Linked DNA regions of Pelodiscus sinensis. The protein of the gene in region 2 purifies or fractionates together with the protein of the main gene of each other region. This does not show direct contact. Links are inferred from orthologs where the notes say so. Each region holds a gene or a part of one and is shown on either strand. Other genes may lie near its edges.

Region 1 (9,484 bases), on a different chromosome or scaffold from region 2:
GGCCTAGATAAAGTCACTACTTTCTTCAGCTCGGGGCAAAATCATCTCATACGCTGATCCAGCTCTGTGCTGTTGTTTCCAACATTGGGTTAGAACACCTGATGAGACAGAGCCAAAGCATGGGGGGGGGGGGCCTGTGATGCCCTCAGTGATGTTACTGGCATCACTTCCTGCATCAATTTTGCGTTGGGGGTGTCACGTTGCTGAATTGGAGGGAAGCAGCCAGGTCACTGCTGGCCCCAAAAATGGTATAAAAGGGGCCATGTGGGGTGCTGAATAGAAGCTCACTGTCTGCTAATCCTATGGACACTGGTCATGTGACTGTAGAATGTGTGTGTGTGGAGTTAGGAATCTGTAATCTGTGTGGAGACTGAATATTTCCCTGCATGTGGTTGAGCATTGGGCAGAGCCCGGCCTATGGACATGCTAATCAGCGAGGCCCTGTGGGACAATGGCTCTCAATGGGCCAAGGACACACAGAATGAGGGTTGACTCCTGAGGGCTGCCAGCAGGGAACACAGAGATTGGCCTCTGGCCAGGTGACCTGCTGCAGCCAAGAAGAGGCCAGGAAGGAGGGATAAATAGGCCATGTGGTGGTCTTCATTTTTGTCTTCAGCTCAGCACTTCATCCCAGAGGCAGCACTGCAGGGATTGAAGAGCCCGGAAGACCTGTGAACCCATCCTGATCGTAGGATGCGCAACAAGGACTTTTAAACCAGCAGCTGCAACATCTCTGCTAGAGCCTGCATCGAGGACTGGGAGATTCGGTGCATGTAATGTACTATCCTTTAACAAACTTGCTCTCATGCTTTTCTTTCTTGTGATAATAAACCTTTAGATATAGATTCTAAAGGATTGGCCCAGCGTGATTTGTGGGTAAGGTCCAGAGGGTAAATTGACCAGGGATCTGTGGCTGGTTTCTTGGAACCGGACAGGACTTGTTCGGGGTAGGTGGGATTGGGTGCTAGGACCCCCCACTGGTGTATGAGGCCCGGGGCCACCTGGGGCACGGATATTGCTGGGGTGTCGGAGGGGTTTTGCTCAGGAGGCTTCAGGCAGGCTGCTGAAGCGCTCTGTGGGACTGGTTTGTGGCCTGTTTGGAGAGGTCACCAGTCTGGGGGCTGTAAGGAGCCCTGGATTTGAGCAATTCGCCCTGAGTGGACACCCTCAGCTGTGCTCAAACCGGCCTGGTCCATCACATGTGTTCAGGTGAGGGCGGGCAGGGCGCAGTGCCAGGGGAGGGCGGGGCGGGGCGCCATGCAGGGGAGGGCGGGGCAGGGCACCATGCAGGGGAGGGCGGGGCAGGGCCTAGCTCCCAAAGCCCTTGGACAGCGGCATCTGGGGATGACGCATGGAGTGGTTGCAGCCTGTACCCATCTCCCCTGGGTGCCCCATGCCAGGGCAGGCTTTGGCAGGTCTCGGGGGCAGCCTCGGTGGGGCTCGCATGGGGCTGGGTGCCCCTCGGGCTGTGCTGGGTCCCGGCTGGGACGCGCTCTGTCTGGCTCCGAGCACCACCTCACCTATGTGAGCGACTCCGTGGCCCGGCTGGCAGGCAGAGATGGGCAGGCAGGTCTGGCACTCGTGGGAGGAGCAGAACGTCCCCAGCTCGCACTCGCACTTGGTGTCGCTCTGCGCGTCCCCGGGGAGCCGCAGGACCAGCTTCGCGTCTGGGCAAAGGGGCGAGACACAGGTCAGCTGTAGGGCCCGGGGGCTGAGCCAACAGTGGGGGGGGCCTGAGCATTACTCGGGGGCGGTTTACCCCAGGGAGGAGACCCCCAAGGCACCTACTGGGGTCGCAGTATCTGTGGGGCGAGCAGTGTCTCTCCTTCGTCCAGCCAGGCTGGAAGTGCTTCGACTCGCACGCTGCGCACACGGACTCCCTCTCCGCCGTGCAGTCAGACTGCAGCTTGTAGCCTGCAACGCGGCGCACGGCCTGTTACTGGGGGGCGGGGCGGGGGGCAGCCCCCAGAGAACAAGGGCCCCACATGGCCAGGCCCTGCCCCACCACCTCCTGCACGCGCCCTGAAGGGAGGGACGCCGGCTGCCCCGGCCCTGCCCCCCCTGCACACGCCCTGGAGGGAGGGACGCCGGCTGCCCCTGGCCCTGCCCCCCCTGCACACGCCCCAGAGGGAGGGACGCCGGCTGCCCCAGCCCTGCCCCCCCTGCACACGCCCCAGAGGGAGGGACGCCGGCTGCCCCGGCCCTGCCCCCGCTGCACACGCCCCAGAGGGAGGGACGCCGGCTGCCCCAGCCCTGCCCCCCCTGCACACGCCCCAGAGGGAGGGACGCCGGCTACCCCAGCCCTGCCCCCCCTGCACACACCCCGGAGGGAGGGACGCCGGCTGCCCCCGGCCCTGCCCCCCTGCACGCGCCCCGGAGCAGATCAAGGCTGCGGCCCCAGCCCGGCTCTGGGGTGGCTGCCTGGGGCGCGACACGGCTCCGTACCTGGCCTGCAGCGGCTGCAGCACGTGCCCTGGTGCTCGTATTGCTGCAGGTTGCAGTCCAAGGCGCTGACAGACGCCCAGTGCTGGAAGAGAGGAGAGCGGCGAGCTCAGGCGGGCCAGGACCCCCCCTTCTTCCTGCCCCCTGGCTCCCACAGGCTCTGCCCAGCCTCTGCGTCCCCGGCGCTCCCAGACGCAGCTGCCTGCCGGCGCCCGCTGGAACCACAACGGGACCCTGGCGCCCCGGTGCCCTGCCTCCCCCGCGCCAGGGCGACGCCGGGCACCGCTGACAGGACCGGGACCCCGGCTGCCCTGCCCGCGGGCTGCCAGCTGCCCTCCCTGCCGCAGGGCCGAGCCACGGATGGACACGGGGCGGTGCTGGGAGGAGCCTGTGGGCTCTGGGGAGCCCCCTCCCCCACCGGGACGTGCCCCAGCCCTGCATGGGCAGCGCGGCCGCTCTCAGGGCAGGGGCCCGGTGCTGCCGCCGGTCGCTCTCGGAGAGCCGGGCTTGGGGCTTCCAGGGGCGGCGCGGAGCCCGACGGTGCCGTCCCACGTCCCTAGCGGGCTGGGGAACCAGCCCCTCCGCCCTGCAGGCCTGGCCTGGCGCCCCGGGAACTGGGCGGGAACCCTGGAGCGCAGGTCCTGTGCCGAGAGGCAGGAAGGGCCAGCCGGCTCCCGCGCCCCGGCTCACGCTGCATGCCCAGGGCCTGGCGCGCGCTCAGCTGCAACCGGCGACGCTGGGCGCCCGCGGCCAGTGCCCTGCTGCCTCCGGGCTGCCCTTCCGCCCTGGCCGGCCGGCGCGCTCCCCGCCCGGGACCCAGCCCTGCCCCTGCGCCCTGCCCCTGGCCTGCTCCCTGGGGCTCCCTGGGGCTCCCTGGCCGGAGCTGGGCTGGGCTGGTCTTGCTCTGTCTCCGGGGCTTGCTCCAGCCCCCTACTTCAGAAAGAAAGTGAAAGCGAAGCCTTGGGCCTCACCCAGGGAGCAGGCGGGGGCCTGGCCCCAGCTCTGGCTGGGCCCTTTGCCTGGGCAGTGGGGGCCCCAGGCCCTGCCCGCCCCCCCTGCGTCCCCGTCCCACCCGGGCTGCCAGGCAGCAGGGCAGAGCGGCCGGGGCCGGGAAATCCAAGAGAATGAAGGGAAATTCCCAGCCACAGAAATGAGGAACCAGCCACCTGGCAGGGAGCCGACTGCAGCCAGCCCGCGTCCCCCCCGCCGGCCCCCGTGTGCTCAGCGCCCGGGCCTGACCCCCGCCGGCCCCCCCTCCCCGGGGCCTGGGCTGGCACCGGGCTGGCGGGCGCTCTGCCGGCGGGGGGGAGGTGGCGCGGTGCCAGCCCCCGGCTGCCCGGGCAGGGAGTTGGCTCCGAGGAGGCAGAGGGGCGCCGGGAGCCCAGCCGGGCCAGGCTTGCAGCGGGCGGCGCCGGGCGAGGGCAGCACTCACCCAGAGCAGGCAGCCCCCGAGCAGGCAGAGCAGGCCGGCCATGGCGCAGCTGGACCGTCCAGGCTGCGGGGAGGGGACCGGCCAGCTGCTATAAACTCCAGCCCTCGAACCGCCCAGGAAGGGGGCTGGGCCGCCCCTCCCCGAGCAGCCAAACTCCTCCCAGGACTTCCCCGGCCAGCCTGCAGGGCTCTGGGCCTGGCTCTCTGCGCCCCAGCCGGGGGCAGGGAGGGGTGCAGACGGGGCGAGGGGCACAGACGGGCAAGGGGGTGCAGATGGAGTAAGGGGGCACAGACGGGGTAAGGGGGCACAGACATGGGTGAGGGGCGCAGACGGGGCGAGGGGCACAGACGGGCAAGGGGGCGCAGACGGAGTAAGGGGGCGCAGACGGGGTAAGGGGGCACAGACACGGGTGAGGGGCGCAGACGGGGCGAGGGGCACAGATGGGCAAAGGGGTGCAGACGGGGGTCAGAGGGCACACACAGAGGTAAGGGGGTGCAGTCAAGGATGAGGGGTCGCAGATGGGGGTTGGGGGTGCAAACAGGGATAAGGGGCGCAGACAGAGGTGAGGGGGCACAAACGGGAGTTAAAGGGGCACAGATGGGTGAGGGGGTCGCAGACGGAATGAGGGGGTGCAGATGGAGTTAAGAGGGTGCAGATGGCGGTGGGGGGTCACAGATGGAGTTAAGGGGGTGCAGACGGAATGAGGAGGTGCAGAGGGGGTGCAGACGGGGTGAGGGGGTGCAGACGGAGTTAAGGGGGTGTAGACGGAATGAGGGGCTGCAGATGGAGCTAAGAGGGTGCAGATGGCGGTGGGGGGGTTGCAGATGGAGTTAAGGGGGTGCAGACGGAATGAGGGGGTGCAGACGGAGTTAAGAGGGTGCAGACGGCGGTGGGGGGGTCGCAGATGGAGTTAAGGGGGTGCAGACGGAATGAGGGGGTGCAGATGGAGCTAAGAGGGTGCAGATGGTGGTGGGGGGGGTCACAGATGGAGTTAAGGGGGTGCAGACGGAATGAGGGGGTGCAGACGGGGCGAGGGGCGCAGAGGGGCAAGGGGGTGCAAACGGAGTTAAGAGGGTGCAGACGGAATGAGGGGGTGCAGACGGAGTTAAGAGGGTGCAGACGGCGGTGGGGGGGTCGCAGATGGAGTTAAGGGGGTGCAGACGGAATGAGGGGGTGCAGACGGGGCGAGGGGCGCAGAGAGGCAAGGGGGTGCAGACGGAATGAGGGGGTGCAGATGGAGTTAAGAGGGTGCAGATGGCGGTGGGGGGTCACAGATGGAGTTAAGGGGGTGCAGACGGAATGAGGAGGTGCAGAGGGGGTGCAGACGGGGTGAGGGGGTGCAGACGGAGTTAAGGGGGTGTAGACGGAATGAGGGGCTGCAGATGGAGCTAAGAGGGTGCAGATGGCGGTGGGGGGGTTGCAGATGGAGTTAAGGGGGTGCAGACGGAATGAGGGGGTGCAGACGGAGTTAAGAGGGTGCAGACAGCGGTGGGGGGGTCGCAGATGGAGTTAAGGGGGTGCAGACGGAATGAGGGGGTGCAGATGGAGCTAAGAGGGTGCAGACGGCGGTGGGGGGGGTCGCAGATGGAGTTAAGGGGGTGCAGACGGAATGAGGGGGTGCAGACGGGGCGAGGGGCGCAGAGAGGCAAGGGGGTGCAGACGGAGTTAAGAGGGTGCAGACGGAATGAGGGGGTGCAGACGGAGTTAAGAGGGTGCAGACGGCGGTGGGGGGGTCGCAGATGGAGTTAAGGGGGTGCAGACGGAATGAGGGGGTGCAGACGGGGCGAGGGGCGCAGAGAGGCAAGGGGGTGCAGACGGAATGAGGGGGTGCAGACGGAGTTAAGAGGGTGCAGACGGCGGTGGGGGGGTCGCAGATGGAATTAAGAGGGTGCAGACGGAATGAGGGGGTGCAGATGGAGCTAAGAGGGTGCAGACGGCGGTGGGGGGGTCGCAGATGGAGTTAAGGGGGTGCAGACGGAATGAGGGGGTGCAGACGGGGCGAGGGGCTCAGAGGGGCAAGGGGGTGCAAACGGAGTTAAGAGGGTGCAGACGGAATGAGGGGGTGCAGACGGAGTTAAGAGGGTGCAGACGGCAGTGGGGGGTCGCAGATGGAGTTAAGAGGGTGCAGACGGCGGTGGGGGGGTCGCAGATGGAGTTAAGGGGGTGCAGACGGCGGTGGGGGGGTCGCAGATGGAGTTAAGGGGGTGCAGACGGCGGTGGGGGGTCGCAGATGGAGTTAAGAGGGTGCAGACGGCGGTGGGGGGGTCGCAGATGGAGTTAAGGGGGTGCAGACGGGGGTTAACGGGACACAGCTTAGCCCCCCCTCACCCTAACAATTGCTCCGATGCCACTGACAGTGGGGGGTGCTCAGAGCTTTGACCCAAACTGCACCCCCTCAGAGGGATGGGCCCACACATCCAGGGGGGCGACCCCCAGCTCTCGGGCTCTCTCTGCTCCTCATCAGCGCCGGGCTGGCCAGTTCAGCTTAGGACCTGCCCATGCAGCCTGCGGGCAGCTCCCTGCCCCAGGGCAGCCAGGCCCATGGCAGGAGGGCCCAGGGCCCGCCAGGAGTACTCAGTGCCAGGGTGCCGGCATGGGGAGCAGCAGAGATCCCTGCCTCAGGCCCTGGAGCCTGGTGTCCCTGGGTGGCCTGCTCTAGAGGAGAGAGGCGCAGGTGGCCTGGCCCAGCCAGGGCATGTACCAGGGCCATGGGGTGAGCGCAGGGCTGCCCCTATGGCCCAGGCCACTCGTGGGCATCTCTGCCACACACTGATGGGCCAGCAGGGCGATGTCACCAGTGTGAATTCACCAGGGCGATGTCACCAGGGCGATGTCACCAGGGCGATGTGACCAGTGTGAATTCACCAGGGCGATGTCACCAGAGCGATGTGACCAGTGTGAATTCACCAGGGCGATGTCATCAGAGCGATGTCACCAGTGTGAATTCACCAGGGCGATGTCACCAGGGCGATGTCACCAGGGCGATGTGACCAGGGCGATGTCACCAGGGCGATGTCACCAGGGCGATGTCACCAGAGCGATGTGACCAGTGTGAATTCACCAGGGCGATGTCATCAGAGCGATGTCACCAGTGTGAATTCACCAGGGCGATGTCACCAGAGCGATGTCACCAGTGTGAATTCACCAGTGTGAATTCACCAGGGCGATGTCACCAGTGTGAATTCACCAGGGCGATGTCACCAGAGCGATGTCACCAGTGTGAATTCACCAGGGCGATGTCACCAGTGTGAATTCACCAGGGCGATGTCACCAGGGCGATGTGACCAGTGTGAATTCACCAGGGCGATGTCACCAGGGCGATGTGACCAGTGTGAATTCACCAGGGCGATGTCACCAGAGCGATGTCACCAGTGTGAATTCACCAGGGCGATGTCACCAGGGCGATGTCACCAGAGCGATGTGACCAGTGTGAATTCACCAGGGCGATGTCACCAGAGCGATGCGACCAGTGTGAATTCACCAGGGCGATGTCACCAGGGCGATGTCACCAGAGCGATGCGACCAGTGTGAATTCACCAGGGCGATGTCACCAGAGCGATGTCACCAGTGTGAATTCACCAGGGCGATGTCACCAGGGCGATGTCACCAGAGCGATGTGACCAGTGTGAATTCACCAGGGCGATGTCACCAGAGCGATGCGACCAGTGTGAATTCACCAGGGCGATGTCACCAGGGCGATGTCACCAGAGCGATGCGACCAGTGTGAATTCACCAGGGCGATGTCACCAGGGCGATGTCACCAGAGCGATGTGACCAGTGTGAATTCACCAGGGCGATGTCACCAGAGCGATGTCACCAGTGTGAATTCACCAGGGCGATGTCACCAGGGCGATGTCACCAGAGCGATGCGACCAGTGTGAATTCACCAGGGCGATGTCACCAGGGCGAAGTCCCTAGGGCAATGTGGCCAGGAAAAGGCGTGTGCGAGCCAGGCTCCTAGCCAGGGGGGTCAGTGCTGTTGCCGGAGGACTGGGGTGCCTGCCGCTGGTGTCGTGTGTGCTGGGGTGGGCCCCTGGCCATTGGCAGAGCGAGCGGGTGGCACAGGGACGGGGCTGGTTGTACCCGGCTCTTGCAGGCTAGTTTCGTGGCGGGAGACTGGAGGGTGACCTGGACCCTTGGGGGGCCCCGTGTCACATTATTGGATTTTAAGGGGAGCAGCCAGATCACTGCCCCAAAGTCTATTGTGACGTTGTGGGGGGCTGTTTGCTCTGTAACCCGGGGTCCCCTGCACTGGGCTGGGATTCCCACGGACTCACCTGCATGTGTGTTGGCCCAGACACCCGGGCCCAGCCTGGGCAGGTAACAAGGCTCTTCCCGGGGAGAGACAAAGGGAGGGCGGTGCAGACGCCACCTGGCTGGGGGGCAGGGCCTGGGAGCTGGGCGGTCTTGTCTGGAAAAAGATGGAGAGAAGTGAGTAAGCTGAGTGCGGGTGTTGAGGGGGGCACTGGACCCCTCCCCCAAGGGGCTTGAGGCTGCCTGGCCCTGACTCCTGTAGCCACATCACGTCTGTGCTGGGCTGTGTCCTGGAAAAGCAATAACCCCCCCGCCCCGTTCTACTGGCTGGCGGAGTCTCATCTTGCTGCAATGGGGGTGCAGGATCAGGTGGGTCCCTGACACGCCACCATAGTGGTGGCAGCAGTGGGATGCACCCCTTGGATGGAGCTTCCAGCAGCAAGGAACAAGGCGCAGGAGAAGGAAGGGGCTTGCATGAGCCAGGCGTGCGGGAGGCAGAGTGAAGGGAGTCGTGGGGCGCTGTAGCACTTGGCCGCTGAGTCTGCACCCCAGGGATTGGCGAGGAGACAGCCTACGCCCAGCTCCTGAAGGCAGACCTGGTGGGGCTGTGCAGAGAGAGGGGCCTGCCCGTGGGGAAAGCAACCAAGGCCCAGGACTGCCCGGCTGGAAGAGCATGACCCATCCAGGGACCTGGATCCTGTCTCCACAGGGAGCAGCCAGACACCCCCTGGGAGTGTCCCAGGCTCTCAGGCAGGAGGGGGGCTGGAGTCCGCCAGACAGACGCGGTGCCCACCAGGCCACTCTCGGCCAGCAGCGGTTCGTCCTGGGCCGGGTCCTCCCCGGCAGAGCTGCGATGGCTGGAGATCGAGCTGAGGCTAAAGGAACTGGAGGATTGTAGGGAGGAGCGCCAGGACCGAGAGAGGCAGCGGCTGCACGAGCTGGCCATGGCGGAGCGGAGAAGCGGAGGGGCCCTGCTGCAGTGAGTGGGGAGGACCCCAGGGATCCCGGGACGGCCAGACACTTGGAGAAGCTCGTGTTGGCCCAGTGTAAGGACGTGCGGGATGTGACGTAGTGGGGGTACTTGCTGGGCGGTGGTGACGGTGAGGCCAAACCTGTTGAACCAGACACCCCCCATGGAGAGGAACAAAGGAAGGTGGATGCTGCCCTGGCTGGGGGGCAGGGCTGGAAGGGGGTGAGTTAGTTGCTGTCTGGGAGCATGGAGGAGACAGCCTAGGGAAAGGGGCTGGAGTTTAGGGGCCCAGTCTCCCCCATCTCAAGGGGGCCTGAGGCATCCTAGCCCAGCTCTGTGACCAGATTACATCTGTTCTGTGCTGCATCCTGGAGAGGCAATAAACT
Region 2 (9,779 bases):
GGTATTTCATCATGGCTTTACTGATGCTGGGTAAAGTGACCTATGCATGGCTCTATCTTCCTGCCAGCCATGCCCTCTACAGGACCACACACACTGGACTCTCTTTGGTGCTGTCAGACCAGAGTGAGAAGCACTATATCGACATCTAGGATACTCTATGGGAAGGGATTCCACTTTGCTCATTAGGTTCACCTCCTCTCCTTCTCACAGGCTTTTGGCTGTTTTCTGCTTCTTTCATCCCTGCACGGGGTAAAATTGGAAGCGTGCGTTTGACTCTGGCGCAGATGCACCACAGGGATCAGAGCAGAGCCTTCCTGATGCTGCTGCTCAGGTAAGAGATTTCAGACCCAGACGTATTGTAAAGAAAGCCTTTTACACAAATAAATGTTGGGGTTGTGAGTATCAATGCTCTCTGCCTACAGGCAGTTCTTCCCATACCCACACATGAGTGAGACCAGGAGCTGATTTTGGAAGGTCCTGTTAAAGATGTCTATTGTTTTTTCAGCACTATAAAAACACTGTCAAATATTGCCCTCCCCATTTCAACTTGCCTAATCAGCTGCAGCACCAAAACTTGAGTTTTTGCTGCCTGTATGGCTGTGATTGTGACTATCCCCTTTTGCTGCACTGTAACAGAGCTAACTGAAAGGTATAAACTGGGCACTCCACATGTTGAGATCCTGATTTTGGCTCCCCTGTGGCTCAGAGTTCCCTTCCAGTTGTCCATAGTGGATGTGCAGACTAACCACAGGCCCATCAGCTGCTGCTTGCTGCTCTTTGGCAGAATGCCAGCAGCCTGCTGCAGAAGAAGTGGACACACAGGGGGAGTAGCTACAATCCATTTAGCTCAGATGAGACTCCCATCTGGCATGTCCTATGATTGTCACTGGTGACAGGTATTTTGCTAACAAAGCCTGGATTGGTGTCAGTCAGGCAAACTCAGCCCACTGGTCCCCTAGAATAATTCACCTGAGGAAATCACCAGCAGATCTCAGACTCCAGTTTCTTCCTGAGTGGGTTCTAATTAGCCCCCTGCGAGCAACCCTCTAATTTGACTGAGATAGGTGGGAATTGTTCCTTGCTGTTATTTTGTAAGAAGAAGGATGACCTTCTGATTAAGGAACATGAGGACTCCTGATTTTGGGGATCTATTCCCAGTTCCATGTGTGAGCGTGGACAAGTCACTTATCTTCACTAGGCCAGCTTAATCCCACCACCAGTGCATGGAGCAAGAGAGAGGCTTGTTACTACACTGAGGTCAGGGGACCAAGCTCACCCCTGGAGCAGGTTAATGCAGCCTTTGTTTGCCATAACCTCATATTCTGAGATATTAGTTTAAACAGGTTGTTGTTGTTACTGTTGAAGAGCCTAAAAGACCAGGCATGATAAATGTATTCATGACCCCTTAGGTCCAGTCCTGCAAATACAGACTATCAGGTAAAGTATGTACTACCTTAAGCAGTCCCACTGACTTTGGTGGTGTATGCATTGTGCCCACTGATAAGTGTTTACAGGACAGGGTCCTAAATTAGTGTTTATATAGAAGCCATAATGCTGTTTTCGATGGTTCAATTTCCTTCCTAACCTGAGGAGTCCAGGGATCCAATATTCTTTCACTACATATGTATGTTTCCTTAAAAAATGCTTTTTAAAACATTTGTATGTGTGTGCGCATGTGCGCATGTAAGCACACACACGCACTCTGTCCCTTTTCTTCTGCCAGTCTGTGCCCATTTCCATAGAAACAGAAGTGAAACCGTGAATTGGCCACCAGAAACTGAGTTATTTTCATTTGCTTACACTCAGGGTCAGAAAGGCTGTGAGTAGCCAGCAGGCAGCTGTCAGCTCATAGTGAGAACTCTCCCTGGTACATTTCAGCAGCTGGCTGTCATCTGACAACTACAAACACCAGGTTTGCAACAAAAAAAAAAACAGTTACTGACTTCACAACGCTTTCAGCTTTGAAAGCCTATTTGGGTTGGGGAGCCCTGTTGTTTACACTTTGGAATTCAGACATGCTGGGAGGACTGCTAGTAACACTAGATATCATCTGTTGAAAATCCCTGTTTGCTTTGTCTAAATGGTGGAATTGGGAGGGGTCAGCATGGAGAGTCTGAAGCCAGACAGTGCCATTTATGTCCACAAAGTTATAACTTTGAAGTTCTTGCCCTTGAGTCAGAGCACTGGTTAATGTGCTGCATGAATGATTGATAAACATTCTCTGGTCTCCTTCACAGTTCATTTCCCCAGTTAGACAATGATGAACATGCAAGGTTCTACCGTATATACTTGCTTATAAACCAACTCCCATAAAGTTAAACCCCTTCTCTTCCCAGCAAAGATTAACGAATATGTCCTACATGTAAACTGATCCTACTCCCACCATCCCTGTGCTCCACAGATAAGAGATTATGGAGAAGGGGGACGTCCCTGAACAGGAAGCAGCACAGGGGACTCAGCAGAACACCTCTCTTTCCCACACTTGACTAGTACATGAGCCAAAAGTTTTGCCTTAAAATTGTGGCATAAATATCTTGGTTTTATACATCAGTAAATATGGTATTTGCCTGCCCTGCCCTGGATGAGTCACCATCACTGATATGCCCAGCCAGAAACTCCAGACCTTATACCTACCTAGTCTTTGTGCTTAGCATGCTGCAGCTCTTCCAGCCAGCCTGCTGCAACCAACAATTACCTCACTGTAGCTGCACTTATCAAATCTGCACTTTGTAAAATATGGATTTGGGAAGTTTCTCAGATCAAACCCAGTCTTACAGAACTGTGCCACTGAAATGCCAAAGCTCACAGCTGTCAGAGGAAGGGCTTTCACTGTGAAAAATAAGCATGCAGCAAAACACCACGTCTTAGTTACAAACAGATGGCTTCAAACTTACACTGATTAAAAGGCCATGCTAATAGCATGACTACTAATGCCACATTAATTGGTAGGAATGTTCGTCACATCCAAGGCTGGCTCTGTTATACAGGCAGAACAGGTGGTTGCCTGGAGCAGCAAAATGTTTAGGGCTTGTGGGAAGTGAAGGGCACGTGTTTTCCAGTTTGCCATGGGCATGAGCAGCCATAGACCTGATGCTAATCTGAGAAGGGAAGAAACTATTAGCAATCAGCCATTTTGGCTTTGTTTCAGTGGCCTCATATTATTGCTCTGCAATGTCCCAGAGGGGAAATATGGGTTCAATTATGGACACTAGCCTTTCACTTGTAAGGCTGATACGGGAAGCTAAGAGAGGCAGCATGCCCAGCCCATTAGTGGAAAGAAGGGGGAGGTGACAGGGAGCATTACACAATGTTCAGCAGGAATCTTTCCTGCCAATCAAGAGTCCATCCACTCTTGTGAATGATGATTGCAGCGTGAGGTTCTCCAGGAAACATGCTACAGTATTCTACAGCAACAGCCCAAAATACTGCAGTGCTGCTAGTGGAAGGCACAGTGCTTTCACCTCTCAGTCCAGCACCATAGGGACCTGACTGGTGCTAAATCAGAGAATTTGCCAAACTATGGGAGGTCAATATTGTTTAGCAGTATTACCAACACTTTCACTGCTTATTGGGCTCTTAGAAGACATTTAGGGGTAAATTAATGCTAAATAACAGCACAGAACACTGAGAGCCAGGACTGGTAAACAAACTTTGAGACCACAAGAAACTTGGCCACACCCATGATAAATGGGCATCCAGCTAACTAAAATTATTGATGTTGCCAGACCAGAGTGTGCCAGACTAGGGAGGTTCAACCTGTATTGTAGAGTAGTGTTTCTCAACCAATGGTATGAGTACCCTTAAGGGTACTTGAGATATGTCTGGGGGATACATCAACACAACTGACATTTGGAGAAAACTGAATTTTTGTTTTAAGTTTTACAGCACTTTATTATTTTTGTACTTTTTACGCCCAAAAATTTCATCACCCACCTGGCTATAATTAAGTTGTTTAAGCAAATGTGTTGCAATGGTAGAAAAAAGAAATGGTGTGTCTGAAAACTGTACGTAGTGGGGGGTACTTATACTTTTTTTAAAGGGGTACTTTATAAAAAAAAGTTGAGAAACACTGTTATAGAGTGCCATAGCACTTTCAAAATAAGGGTAGAAACTTTAGAAGCAGTAAAGCCGAATCAGACTGATGAGTGACAAAGACCAGTAAATTAGGCATGGCATGGTGCAGGAAAGACTTGCCTGACTTAAGGGTTGTATTATGAAGTAGCGGCAGGTAAGTGCTTACTCAAAGCACTAATATGTGCTTGGAAACTTCATGTCATTGTAACAAAGTGTATGATCAGAAAATACACAGAGGCATCTTAAGGCAGTGGGAAACAGGTTCTGTTACCTCCCTTCTCTCTGCTACGGCCACATCTGAAATATTACTTTCAGTTATAGGCACCTCTTAACCAAGATAGTAATCAAATGAGAGGGTGTTCAGGAAAGAGCAATAAAAACATCAAACTTCAGGAGGAATTGACTTCTAAGGGGTGATTTGAAATAGCTATATATGTATAGCTTGGCTGGGGAACCTGATGGCAGCCTACAAATACTGAAAAGGTGAAAACACCCATGTGGCACCTTGGAGTATAAGTAGGAGGAATGGGGTGAAACTAAGAGAAGAAAATGTAGGCTAACAGGCCTGACAGTGAGGTCTGCTGCGCTGGGAAGTGGTAAAAGTCAGTTTCCCTCCGCCATGTCAGCTAGACTGGAGAAAGCACTAGATAATATACTGTGATGAAAACCCTGCCTGGAAAGAAGACAAGTTGGATGATACTGTAAGGTATTCTAAAATCTATCATGAAATGTTGTCAACTGTTTAATGTTTTAATTAAAGTCCTAGCTGCTGTGAGTGCATGAGAACTTCACCTTTAATTACTTACAACAAATGTTCCTAGTCATGGATGTGGAGAGAAGCTGGAAAATGCTGCTTGAGCATAATGTTCAAGACTCAAGAATCAGAATGCATACAAAAATAACCCACCTTTAAATCACATGAGTTGTGATTCACTCTTTTGATTTCTCATGATTTTGGTGGTCTGACTCATGATTTTTGAGCAGACAGCTTAGCACTGACAATGTACATTCTAGTATTTAAAAAAATCAGACACTTCTTCCACTTATGTGTATTATGTTTGAAAACCATATTGGGTTTCCCCTGCAATTATTTATCTGTTCAGTTTGAACAGTAGCCTGACTTCTTGGGACAGGAACAATTCAAGGGACTTTTTAACTTCAAAGTAGCTTTCCTCTGTTACTGATTCACTCCCCCTCGAAGAGGTTTTCAGCCTGAGGCTTTCCACTTCTGATTTGTGATTTGCATAAAAGTTCTACTTCCTGCTGCAGAGCCTGTTCTGCAACTTACCTGAGAGAGAGAAGTGCGTAAAAGGAAAAAAGAAAACCACAGATCCACAGGAAAATAGAGTGCAGGAGAAAGCCCAGCAGTTGCTCTTTACTCTTGATCAGTCCAGCGTGTGTCCCTGCTAGCCCCAAGGTAAGAGCTCTTAAAGATCTTGCTGCTCGCTATTTGTTACTAACCACTGACCCACTTTGCCGCTTGTTTTTCTTTCTGGGTTCTAACCTCCTTTTTACTTCACCTATTTTTTCCAGTAATGACTGAGTGAATTTAGAACCCAGCACACTGCGCTTCGGCTACTTTGCGTAACAGATTTGGATCAGGACTGTCTTTGGGTAAACCCTCTGGGAATGGATGACATAGGCAGTGTTTTGCTGTCATCCCAAGCTTTTGTACAGCTGTTTGTAAAACACCAGCCACAGGCCTAATTCTGGCTAGTCGTGGCATGGGCATTCTGCTGGAGGGTAGCTTGAAAGCAGCCTTCACCTCTAGTTTTTTGTGGTTCCCCCCCCCCCCTCACACGCACACAGGGATTAGCCAGTGATCCTGCATTTGGCAGCTTCAGAAGGAACTGTGGCACCACTGGAACAGTGCGATTTTGTACAGCAAGCCCATACCATGTTGCCTACTCAGCCATAATGAGGGGCTGTTTCCAATAATGTTGAAGAGAGAATTATTATGGAAAACAAAGAAGAAATACGATTATAAACCCAGATAAAACACTTCCAACCTGATGTTTATATCAGAACAGATTGCAAGTGATCTGATATTAATTTAAAAAACATCAGCTGTATAATTGATATGTTAACTTCCCTTTCAGGATACTCAGTTTGGCAATTCTCACTACCATTTGCTAGGGAGTGGGAACAGTAAATCTGCCCCCACCTACTGTGCCTTACAGCTGCAACTAGTTGCTGGGAATTACACAATTTTACAAAATCAAAGTGTCTCCTACAGACTAACGCCTGAGCTACATAAACAATGGATACTGACATAATTATGTCAAGAAGGTGATGTTTTCCCAGCATAGATGTGCTGGTATATGTGCAGGGGTGGGGGCTGGATCCAGAGCTGAGCTTGTATTGGGGAGCCTGTGCTGCCGCTCCAGCCCTGTGTCTCCCCTCCCCCGTGGGGCTGGAGCGCCAGCACAGACTCACCACTTCAAGGATGGGGAGCCAAGAGTCTCATGAGATGGAGTCAGGCAAACCGGGGCTGGTTCCGACCCACAGGCTCTGTTTGGCAACACGAGAAAGTAGCTCCATGGGTGCTGCTCGCCCCCCTCTCAACTGGGGAAATGGCAGCACAGCAAAACACTGCCTGGAGGCTTTTTCCCCCGCCACTCTAATTGGCCGTAATCGTAGCCAATCGGAGCAACAGAATTTATGCCTGGGAGCGGCAGGGGACATGGAGCCAAGTGCATCCCTGAGGCCTGTGCCCTTACACCCATACCCTACTCCTGGACCCCCTCCTACCCAAACCCCCCACCTCCAGTCCACTCTTGCACCCTACCGGCCTGCCAGACCCTCCAACCCTCAGCCTGTTCCTGCACTGCCCTCCTGCACAGATCTCCACTCCCACCAAGCCCTGCCATCTCCAGTCCACTCCTTTACCCTATTTCCCACCCAGACTCTGCACCCGCACTTCTCTCCTGCACCCTACCTCTCCCCCAGACCTGCCACCCCAATCCCCCAGACCTTGCACCCTCCCTCCCACCCAGACCTCACAACCCAAGCCCATTTCCCAGCAGGCCCCTCCCACACACTGAACCCCTCATTTTTTGCCCCACCCAGAGCCTAGAGAGGCCCACAAAATCTACTAGCCCAGGCCCCCCTGGGATTTGGTGTATGAGAGGTATGTGGGGAACGTTTTTCTGCTTCTCAGTCAGAGGCCATGTCAGTGAGGTGTTGGTTTGGTTTGGTTTGGGGTTGTTTTGCTTCTCAGTTTGTGTGCCCCCCCAACTGATTTTTCTGTAGGTCAGCAGCCCCCAACCAAAAGGTTCCTCGCCTGTGTGCTAGGGTAAGACCTAGTGATGCCAGCACAACTTTACTTTTGCTGATGTAGCCTATTTTGCTCAAGGAATTGGCAGTTAATATAAGCTTCATCTATACTAGACTGTTTTGCTGGTCTAGCTAAACCAGCAATCCCTTCCTAGCAATAATAAGCCCTTAGGTAGAGAATGTACAGACTTTTTGGTGCCGTCTGCAAAGAAATAATAAAATGCTTCCTAGCTCCATAAGCTCAAAAAATGCCACTAGAGAAGGGGAGAAAGATTAGTAAGACCTCAGTTCTTCCTGTCGTCATCTTTTGTGTGTCCCCAGCACATTGTTCAGCATGAGGTCTTGAGTACATTGAACATTATCAGCAGTGCTTCTCTCGATATGCTTGGCTTGGGGATTTTTTTCAGTTTTTGCGAACGTCTATTGTAGATGGCTATGTGGAGTCAAAGAAAAGGGATTTCAGCTGGATATGACTGAACTGGACACAAATAATCATGGCATGACCCTAAGCAAGGAAACGTGTTGAGGGGGAAGCCTGAAACAGGGGAATGGCTGCCTAGTGCTGGGCTGATGTCAGTGTCCAATGGCTGGACTGGTGTAGACCCAACACACAGTGTTGCAGTCTTTCCAGAACCCATACTATTAAGGAGATGTGGCAGTATTTCCATAGTTAAGTTTGAAACCAGCTTCTCTGCTATAGTGCCCTATTTTGGCAGCAAAAGGTGAATGTTTCAGCAAAGCCTGAAGAAAATTCAAGATCCTTTGATATTACATGGCATTCTAATAGTGCAATGGTTTGCAATTCTGACTTAGAGCTAGAGGAAGACACAGATACTAAAGTGACATGTTTGTTACCTCTTCAGTGGAGCATAAGAGCCAGGCAGAATTCCAAGCCATATACTCAAGAAAGCACATGGAGATAGCACCCTCGCTACTTCCCATGGAGATGTACGCCACCCTTGAAGGGCAGTGAGGAGTGGAGAATTACGGAGATCTGTGACTGTGTTGGTTCCCCCATATACCAGCCAGCGTTGACAGGTAGTGGTGTGTATATACCCGCTGTTCAATGGAAAGCTCCAGAAGGCATTCCAGTTCTAAGTCTGCATGTCTTGGTGTTTTCTCTGGGGCATTGTGTCCCCACCCCCACCCTTTCTGGGACGTGCCTAAAGAGTACCAGCCTAGCCGTGTATTAGCTGAGAATGTATTCCACTTAAAAATACCTTGTAAAAAACATTTTTTTTGCCACTGCAATAAAAATATTATATTAAAATTAGTAATTCAGTGGTCAAAGTTAGTTATGTTTTGATAAAATATGCTTTTCATTGTAGTCCATATGCATGTTGTGTTTACTTTGTGGGCAGTTCAGGATTTGTGTTGTTTACAGTTCATTTCCTTGTTTTCAGAAGCTTTCACTTTGTTACTGATGTGATATGCAGGCGTGTTGTCATTTAGCAGCCTTAACTAGCATGCTATATAGTAAAACAAAAACCACATTATTTATCTAGCAGTTACCAGAAGTACATGTCATTAAATGTATGGGGGAAATGTCCCAAGCACATAGCAGAGTCTCTGCCCTGAAAATCTTATTTTCTAAAGGCATATCTTTATTAAGGGAGTCATGTTTCATGTGAAGGTGTATTGATTCTGTTTCATTATATAATATTCTGGGTATCTGAGATAAGAGGAGCTATTGCTGATGCTGGCACAATTTCAACATGTACTGTAAATATTACACTGCAGTAATTTTTATCTAATGCTGAAGCTCCAACTTGATAAAGCTCCAGGAGGAATACACACTATATTGTTGCTCCTTTTTTTAGACCATGCAATAGACCAGGAATCTGCTACAATGGATGATAGTTCTGGGTCAAGATTTTCAAAGGTGCCAAGTGATTTTTTTGTATATTGAGTGGGAGACAGTTTAAAATAACCTGATTTTCAGAAAGTGCTATGATGGATCTTTAAAGCCGGGGACTACAACTCTTGTCATCTCCATCCCATTTCTCCTGGCCAAGCAGAGGTTATGTTTCCTGTCAGCCCTTCTGGTTGTATTTCCCCTTCTATTGGCCAGGTAAGAGGAAAGACACTTGCATTATTGTTAGCACCAGTGTAGCTCCAGTAGTGCTGAAAATGCACATGGTATTTTATAGTATAGGTAAAGCCTTCCTCCTAGAGTTAGAAGCACATGGATAGTTATCCCTCCATATATAATCCTTGTGCTGGCTGCAGCGAGAATGTAAGAACAGTGAAAAAATGAAAACATGTCAGCACTGAAGAAGAACGCTGTTTCATACAATAGTACCTCAGAGTTATGAACCCAGAGTTACAAACTGACGAGTCAACCACACTTCTCATTCGTAACCAGAAGCATGCAGTCAGGCAGCAGCACAGACACAAAAATCAAAACAAAAAAGTGAGTATGGCATAGT

Evidence for each region. Proteins that work in one complex are often made in the same cells at the same time.
Region 1: the proteins of TRAF3IP2 (region 2) and CD40 purify together in Homo sapiens (affinity purification with western blotting, with the first as the bait; 3 studies listed by BioGRID). This does not show direct contact. The link is inferred for Pelodiscus sinensis from reciprocal best matches to the Homo sapiens genes TRAF3IP2 and CD40.

Annotation. Positions count from the first base shown.
Region 1 is NW_027465895.1:136,303-145,786, reverse strand, and holds the start of CD40 (tumor necrosis factor receptor superfamily member 5), read right to left. Parts: upstream 4,004-9,484; 5' UTR 3,917-4,003; coding exon 3,875-3,916; intron 2,528-3,874; coding exon 2,446-2,527; intron 1,915-2,445; coding exon 1,789-1,914; intron 1,668-1,788; coding exon 1,521-1,667; intron 1-1,520.
Region 2 is NC_134713.1:79,752,792-79,762,570, reverse strand, and holds the start of TRAF3IP2 (E3 ubiquitin ligase TRAF3IP2), read left to right. Parts: upstream 1-5,311; 5' UTR 5,312-5,491; intron 5,492-8,213; 5' UTR 8,214-8,388; intron 8,389-9,030; exon of another isoform or gene 9,031-9,421; intron 9,422-9,779. UniProt on the Homo sapiens protein: E3 ubiquitin ligase that catalyzes 'Lys-63'-linked polyubiquitination of target protein, enhancing protein-protein interaction and cell signaling. Transfers ubiquitin from E2 ubiquitin-conjugating enzyme UBE2V1-UBE2N to substrate protein.